2 linked regions of the Sus scrofa genome follow. The protein of the gene in region 2 binds, or shares a complex with, the protein of the main gene of each other region. Links are inferred from orthologs where the notes say so. Each region holds a gene or a part of one and is shown on either strand. Other genes may lie near its edges. The genes, in order: KCTD16 and GABBR2.

Region 1 (4,287 bases), on a different chromosome or scaffold from region 2:
CCTGAGATAGTCCAGAATATAACGGAACAAGAATCCATCTCTGTCAATGAAAACCCTTCCCTTGGAGTCCTTGGCCAGATCGTTAGCTGTGTCTCTCTTCGGGGAAAACATTTTCCACAGGAGGGAATGAGGGATGCTTATTAGTGTGGAATGGCGAGTGAAATAAACCTGACCCCCAACATTCAGCTCCACGACCTCGGGGAAGGAGTTGGGAACTGCAGCCCCCTGTTCTCGAGCATAATAACGACCACAGTTTCCACTCAGAGCCATGGTCCCTCTTTTCTTCTCCTATTTTGATGTGAAGGTGCAAAATCCAATGGAGTCACAGCCTGCTCCTTTGTATCAACTTGGAAGGGAGGGAAAAGACGCTAACTTGTTCAAAACAACCTCCTCTTACCCCGGTTTTTTTTTTTGTTTTTTTTTTTTCCCAAGAAAGCAAAATTTCAAAGAGTCCACAGGTGAAGCGATGCTGCAAAAGTAGTTTAAACCCTGGCAGGTGAGGAGCTATTACTTCATGGAATATAATCAACTCATCTCCACCTGATCTTCTCCCGAGCTCAGTAGGCAGGGCAGGCCAGGTCCCCAGTTACTGAGAGGTCTGTCTGAAGGAAAAGAGAGAAAATTATTTCCTCAAACCCAGCATGAGTCAGAAAAAGAAAAAAAAAAAGGAGGAGAAAGAGAGGGAGGGAGGGAGGAAAGCAGGGGAGGGAGGGAGGGAGAGATTATTTTACATAAGCAGCCCTGGAACTACTGATTTCAGCCATTCTTCAACTAAGCCATAGCTTCTCTCAAGCTATTTTGTGTCTACCTATCTATTCATATTCCTCTGTCTCCAGCATTTCAGTATTAAAAACATCTCCATTTTTATTTCAGCATTAAAAAGGAATATGCAATTTTCAACTTCTAAAAGGGGATTTTTTTTCTTCTTCTTCTTCTGGCTAGAGAGGGAGAGCAATAAGCCTGGGAACTTACCTTAGCGAATGCTGGAAACACAGTTCTTGTGAAGAAATACCCATTTGCGAAGCCGTCCAAATCCACAGCCACACACAGTCTGGAGCTTGTCAAATCCCAAAGAGGGAAAGGACAGAGGTATCAATGAAAAGTGCCAGAGAGATGTGCTCTTAGAAAATAATAATTATTATATATATATATAAATATTTATATAAATGTATATTTGTGTATATGTATGTAGATATCCACTCCCGATCTCAAGTTAAAACAAGTCACAAAAAAGTTAAACCGTGATGAGAGGTGGTTGGATTGAAAAAGCAAAGCAGAGAAAAATATTCAACCAAAGCCTCTCCAGGGGCAGAAAAAAAAAAAAAATCCAACCTTTGGAAAGAATCCTTAAAACAGAAGAGAGTTGCAAGAGGTACTGGGACTTAGAAGCTTTGCAGAAAGCCCAGAAGCAGAAAGAAAGACAGATGTGCCCTGCTGGGGTGCCAGGTAGTCACCCACCTGCCGGCAAGGGCAAGCGGACTCCCATGTTCCCAGCCAGGTGGGAGCCGGCAGCCGCCGCTGCGCAGAGATGCGGTCGGGGGCTCGGGCTCCGGCTTCTCGGCGGCGGCGGCGGCTCTGGGTGGTTCCACAGTTCCCAGTGCAGTTAGGATGCTGTTGTTTCAGCAGTGCAGGCAAGAAACCATCCAGGGAAATGACTATTACATCATCTTAAAGGAATATGGCTTGGAGGAAGCGGAGGCAGCTCCGAGTCACGTCCTCCCCGGTGACAGGTCGCCAGGACTGCACGGGAACGCCGCGCTCTGGCCGTGGGCACGCGACTCCCGGGGCGCGCTGGGGCTTGGGGCGGGGACCAGCGCTGCCTAGCCACTTCCCTCCCGTCCTGCCCGCGAGTCTGGAGTTTCCTTTGCTTTGCCCTTTTTCCTGTCTTTAGACCTCCACCGCCCCCCCAGCCGCCGGAAACAACCCCTTCACCCAGTGGTGAGATAAACACAGCGATTTTTCATTAACAAAAAACCCCCAACAAGCCCTTTGCGCACGTGCACTGAATTTCTGCCGAAGGGCAAATTTCCCCCTCTAAAGCTTGTTTAAGAAAACAAACAAACAACAGCAACAAAACACCCAGTGACCCCGATGTTCAACCTACAGAAGGGCTTTTTTTTTTTTCTCCAATCAGAGAGGATCAAACCATATTCTCTCAGTTGCGCTCTCTTGTCTTTTCCTTCTCCATCCCTCCGCCACCCCTACCCCAGCAAATAAATAAGCATTTAGTAAATGAATATATACATCCATGCACACATGCAATCTCTGGAATTAATGGTGCTCTTTCAAAAGAATACACGAAGCGCTGGTACCTTCAGAAAACTCAGAGTTCCTGTCAGTAAGGCGTTATCTTCGCTTCCATGTAAGAAATTGTTACCTGCAACCTTTTCCTGGGGTTGTTTCCTTACTGAGCATCTCTCTGGATGTGGCCGGCCCCCTCCCATTTCATCCCAAGAGGACTCTGGTGGAAGACACGCCTGCTAAGAGACATTTTACTCCTGTCCCAGAGGGTTCCCTTAAGTGCATCATTAGACTTTCAGAAAGGCATTTCCAGGGCAACCTAATCCACTAACAAAGTGCTTCCAGTTGATCCTGCCAGTCAATAATGGCCCAGCCAACAGCTTACAGTAAGTCAGCCATTTCCCCTTTAAAACACCAATGTCTTAGGACTCACATTCCTAATGAGAATATAGTACTTTGTCGATGAATAATATATGTAAGGCACACTCCATTCCAAACAACTGCTATTAAAAAAACCCCAAAACCAAAAGTGGACAGGAAAGTATGAATTAGATCCATTTTATGGGACACACATGTTTATTGCCAACTCTTGCCCCAAGAATTAGCTTGAACGTAGACTCAGCAGTCATGTAAATTAATTTCTAATTTAACACTCTTTTCTTTCACTAAGTATCAGGTTACTGAACACATTCAGAGTATTAGCTAACACTCTAACACCTAATTATAGTTGACTTTGTTTCTTTAACTAATATATTAACCTGTTCTGGCCTTAATCACTGGGATTTTAACACTGGACCAGTCAAGGAAATGTTTATTATTTGGTGCACTCATATCGCCATCTAGTGTCCCTATGCTATCACTGCAGATGTGTATCTGGCAACCTACTTGAGCCCAAAGTTAGAGTTTTCCTTTATTTTAAAGTTTTTTTTATAGTGATTTGAGTTTTACCTGAAAGGTTCTGTTCATCAAAATTACAAAGTAAACAGTTATTTGCCATCAGATACAGGGTATAAATAAGTTTGAATTTATGCTTATTAAGTACCGAATTTGTTCACAGTTAAAAGCCAATTGTTTAGTATCTAACGGAGTAGGGCAGTATGCCATGACAATGACTTTGGAGATGGGCTATTAAAATATTTGAGGGGCAATTTGGCAGGAAGTAAAGCATGAGAGGAAGAAAAAAAACCATGGTCCTATAAAGCTAAAAGGAACTTGAGAAATGGAATCACCATCTCCTCTTAGAGCTACAGAGGCTGAGTACCAGAGAGGGAAAGCTTTTCCACAGGGCCACACAGCTGTGGAGCATGAGGGTAGGGTTCAGATCATTGCCTATTCAGTACCATCAATGTTTTGTTTTTAACATTATGGATTCTAGAATAAAGATGGAAAGGCGGCAAATAAGGAAACATGTTTATTTCGCATTTCTTTCTTTTTTTTTTTTTGTCTTTATGCCATTTCTTGGGCCGCTCCTGTGGCATATGGAGATTCCCAGGCTAGGGGTCTAATCGGAGCTGTAGCTACTGGCCTACACCACAGCCACAGCAACGTGGGATCCGAGCTGCGTCTGCGACCTACACCACGGCTCACAGCAACGCTGGATCCTTAACCCACTGAGCAAGGCCAGGGATTGAACCTGCAACCGCATGGTTCCTAGTCAGATTCGTCAACCACTGAGGCACGACAGGAACTCCTGTTATGCATTTCAAAAAAAAAACAGCAAGTCATTGAAAAGAATTGTTAGTAATAAGTGAAATTGCAAGGCTAAAATATCCTTACAATTTAAAAGAAGAGTGTTCTAAATTTCAAAAATGAGGAGCTCTGTTCATTGATCTGGGTTTCATAGGTTAGGATATTTTTGAGACCAGTCGTACTTAAGGTTTTGGGGGAAAGGGCTGCTTGGAGAATCTTAGAAAATCTAGGAGATGAATACACAAGCATAAAAGTTTGCGTTCCATGTCCAGGGCAGAACCTCTGAGGAAGAACTGAGGAATGAGAGGAGCCAGGGAGATCACGTGGCCAGGGACTCCCCTTCCCAGCACTCCGCAA
Region 2 (3,811 bases):
TCAGAAAGGACACCCTGCCTCAGCTCAAGTTCATTCTTCAGCTCCCCATTTTCCTGGACTCTGTCCACACCTGTGACGTTACACAAGTTCAACTTTAACTTCGACATGGGGTCTCCAACACTACTCTCCCATTAGCACCTGGAAAAGGTCTCAGGAGAAGCCCTTCTGCCCAGAAGATCCTTAGGAGTGGAGGCAGCACTGCATCTGTCCTCATCCATCTCAGAACCCCCACTACCCCACATACACCCCAGGGCAACCCTGGTGGGATGAAGCAGCCTCCCTGAGTTGATGTGCCTCCCCGCAAAGTACCGTGGTTCAATAGAAGAAGCAAGGGTCCTACCTTCTCCAGCTCTGATTCTGTTTCTATGAGCAAGTTATGCAAACTCTGTACCCTTACCTTGTCTTTATAATGGGAACAGCAATGCTTCTTTGGCCTGCTGGCTTTTGTGAAGGTCTGAGGGTTTTTTCCATCTGAGTGGCCAGGCACAGGGGACACAAGGAGACCTAAGAGTTCAGGAAATGCCCAGAGCAGGGCACATGGCCTGGGCACATCCACCAAAGCAGGCTTCACAACAGTGGAGGTGACTTACTGACCTGCCAATTGTGAAAACTGATGGTAAGACGTGGAAGGGTGTGGCAGTGAGCAGGGAGTTGGAAGGCAGCTTCTTTTCACGATGCTTCTCCGTCAGTCCTGCACACCCAGCCCTGGCTCAGCCCGGCCTCTGCTTTTTCCTGGCTGCATTTCAGGGAATTTAGCAAGGTTTCTGGGGGCATAGAGGAGGAAGGGGCTCACTCTCTGAGGGGTTTCACGCAAAGAAAATGACATCTAAACTGAATCTTAAAGGGAAAGCAGTCATCAGATGGGAAAGCAGAGGAAGAGCTTTTCCCGGCAGAGGAACAGCATGTGCAGAGGCACTGAAGAGTGCCCAAAAGCAGGGCTGTAGAGGAAACTAGGCGCCAGAGGGCAGGTTTGCAGGGAAATGGAGGTACAAGATTCACCTGGAGCATTTGACATAAGACAGATCTTGGGGAGCCCTGAATGCCCCATCCCAATGCTAGAGAGATAACACTGGTTGGTAACCAGAGAAGCTGAAAGATCAGGAAGGAACCTACTGGAATTGGCCGGGCAAGAAGGGCTGAGGTCCTGGGCAAGAGACAGTGGCAGAGAAGCCGATGAGGAAGGACAGAGCAGTTGAGAAGCCTTTTAGGGACAGAACCCAAAGCCAAGTCCACTTGGGGACTCACAAGAGCAGAGAATGGGAACTATCTGTGTTTGTAGCATAGCAGGGCCAAGCCTTATTCGTAGGAGTCACCAGACGCTCAAGAAGCCTGCCTCCTCCTTGTTTACTGTCACCCTGCTTCTTCCCAGGTCAGTAGTTAGCACACGTAGGCCTAGATTAAACACTTGCTACATGGGTGAGTGGTTAGATGACAAGATGGACAGATCTTGGATTCAGAGAGAACTGTACTCCTAACATCAGCTTCTTAGCCAAGGTGAGTCCAAGGAACGTCCCGGTGTGCAGCCACAAGCCTTCACTAACTGCCCCTCTTTCTCTCCCTGACACAGCATCCAGCGCCGGCTGTCCCTCCAGCTCCCCATCCTCCACCACGCCTACCTCCCATCCATTGGAGGCGTGGACGCCAGCTGTGTCAGCCCCTGCGTCAGCCCCACCGCCAGCCCCCGCCACAGACACGTGCCACCCTCCTTCCGAGTTATGGTCTCGGGCCTGTAAGTGGGGGAGGCCTGGGGCTGGGGCCTCCCCCGTGACGGAACCACACGGAGCAGAGGCGTCTGCTACAGGAACACTGTCAGCTCTGGCTGCAGAGAAACTGGCGCCACGGCTGGCCTTGCGGGACTACTCGGATGGCACTCGGTGCAGATGGGGGGCACTTGGCACCTGACCTTGCGCCTTATTTGTGAAGTTTTTATTCTTTCACAAAGAAGAGGAATGGAAATGACCTCTTCCTTAATGTCTGCAAAGGAGGAGGAGCTGGGATACATGAAACTTGGCAAAAAAAAAAATCCTAGACAAGGAGAAACTTACTAGAACTCCAGCTAGAAGTCACTGAGTGGTCCTGAGCAGCCCTGAGAAGAGGCAAGGGGCTTCTGGAGAACCGCCTCTGCCTCTGCACACATGCCACTGGCTGTGGCTCCCAGGCCAGCCCTTCTCCACTCTGGGGAAGGAGACAGGCAGGGCAGCCAGGCTCCCAGCTGCCAGTCCAGCCAACCCCAGACTTCCTGGAACAGGGAGTCTGCAGGAAGGGCAGCTGGGCACAGCTCTGCAGCGAGCGGCCTGAGGGCTGGGCAACCGAGGGCTGGGATACCGAGCAGGCTGACTCGCATGCCTCCCAGTGGGACCTTACTCTCTGATAAATGCCACCCATTAACACAATAACACCCGTTCTGGGACCGTGGGGATTTAGGGCACGTTGCTGCAGACCCACTCTGCAGCACTCACCCACAGTCGGCCATGCACCCACCACGTTGGCCATGTCCTTGTGTTTGTATCAGGTGTTCCCCATAATAAGGGGGCCACCGGAGCTAATCATGGAATGTCTGTTCCCAGCAAACATGATAAAGATTGTGCACTTTAACCTCTCTCATCAGGGCCCAAGGGCTGGCTGGGGTTTGGTTTTGTTTATTCCCACTGACTTTGTTTCTGACCAAAGTGAATCGGGAGCATTTTGCCAGAAGATATCCCTGTAGTCCTGGGGGTGAGAGTTATTAGCTGAGGACTTCTCTTAACTTCCCAGAAGGCAGCATTCATCCAGACAAGCCCGTGAGCTCTGCCCTTGGGGGTCCCAGAGGTGATAGATCAGCACACTGATTCTCACAAGATCACTCTTTCCTTTTAAATGAACCCCAAGGAGCACTGGCCTGGGAGTCAGACAGACCTGGGTTCAAGCCCTTGCTCCACTGTGACTCCCTCCAAGACCTTGGGGAAGTCGCTTATGTCTCTCTGAGCCTCAGTTTCCCCTAACAAATTGGGGTTGAAATAACACCTGTCCTGCCTACCTCACAGGGTCGCTCTGAGGATCAAAACTTGATCTTGTCTAGGAAAGCTTCATACCAAACAGTGAAGCAGCCCTGACCCGTGAGGTATCAGGATGAGCATGACCTTCAGCCCTCAGGACAGCCGGGGCTATAGCCCAGAGAAGCTCCCAGCACAGCCCTCTACCAGAATCCATCCGGCTGAAGGCTCCAGATGACTTTTGAGACATTCCTAGACAAGTTCATTCTTTGCTAAAGAAAGGCCTGAATGACAGTGTCCAGGACGTCTGCACAACTGAGCAGTCGCTTGCTCCCTAAAGTAACCTAATGGCAGCTTCAACAGGCAGGCAATAATCTCTTCCCAGACCACTGAAGTCAGGAATACAGTGTCACCACCAGGGTTTGACAAAAGGGCCCGCGGGAATCTTACCATCGCCAACATTTCAGAACACCCTATTTCACGTAGCATAGCTCTCCCCTCCCCAAAGAGAGGTTACGGAGGTACTGTAGCTTTTAGGGGGAAACAATGTTAACATATCACAGGTCAAGTTGAAGTCACTGTCTGTTTAGGCACTAAAAATCGGTGTTGTCACTCACTGTGTATTACCAGTATTTCCTTGCTTTCTTGATTTCACCAAAACCAGATTTAATTTAAAGGACCGCATTACTTTTTCAAAGGGAAAGAGACAATTCATTGTACATAATGTATACACACACACACACACACACACACAATAATACCTATAGAAATATTAATCCATCATAGCAGGAAAAAAAAAAAAACGAAAAACAAAGTATTGGAAGTTGGAGGTGAGTGTG

What was found.
Region 1: the proteins of GABBR2 (region 2) and KCTD16 are in contact, whole or in part, in a crystal structure (PDB 6M8R), measured with the Homo sapiens proteins. The link is inferred for Sus scrofa from reciprocal best matches to the Homo sapiens genes GABBR2 and KCTD16. Residues at the interface, in NP_005449.5 of Homo sapiens: Ile882, Asn883, Ile888, Gln889, Arg891, Leu892, Ser893, Leu894, Gln895, Leu896, Pro897, Ile898, Leu899; in NP_001357415.1 of Homo sapiens: Asn30, Gly32, Gly33, Gln34, Val35, Tyr36, Asp64, Leu65, Ala66, Lys67, Asp68, Ser69, Arg72, Phe74, Gly79, Phe80, Arg83.

The regions. Positions count from the first base shown.
Region 1 is NC_010444.4:145,703,443-145,707,729, reverse strand, and holds the start of KCTD16 (BTB/POZ domain-containing protein KCTD16), read right to left. Parts: upstream 3,029-4,287; 5' UTR 2,313-3,028; intron 2,216-2,312; exon of another isoform or gene 1,058-2,215; 5' UTR 973-1,057; intron 603-972; 5' UTR 271-602; coding exon 1-270. UniProt on the Homo sapiens protein: Auxiliary subunit of GABA-B receptors that determine the pharmacology and kinetics of the receptor response. Increases agonist potency and markedly alter the G-protein signaling of the receptors by accelerating onset and promoting desensitization.
Region 2 is NC_010443.5:240,107,850-240,111,660, reverse strand, and holds part of GABBR2 (gamma-aminobutyric acid type B receptor subunit 2), read left to right. Parts: intron 1-1,567; coding exon 1,568-1,733; 3' UTR 1,734-3,811. UniProt on the Homo sapiens protein: Component of a heterodimeric G-protein coupled receptor for GABA, formed by GABBR1 and GABBR2. Within the heterodimeric GABA receptor, only GABBR1 seems to bind agonists, while GABBR2 mediates coupling to G proteins.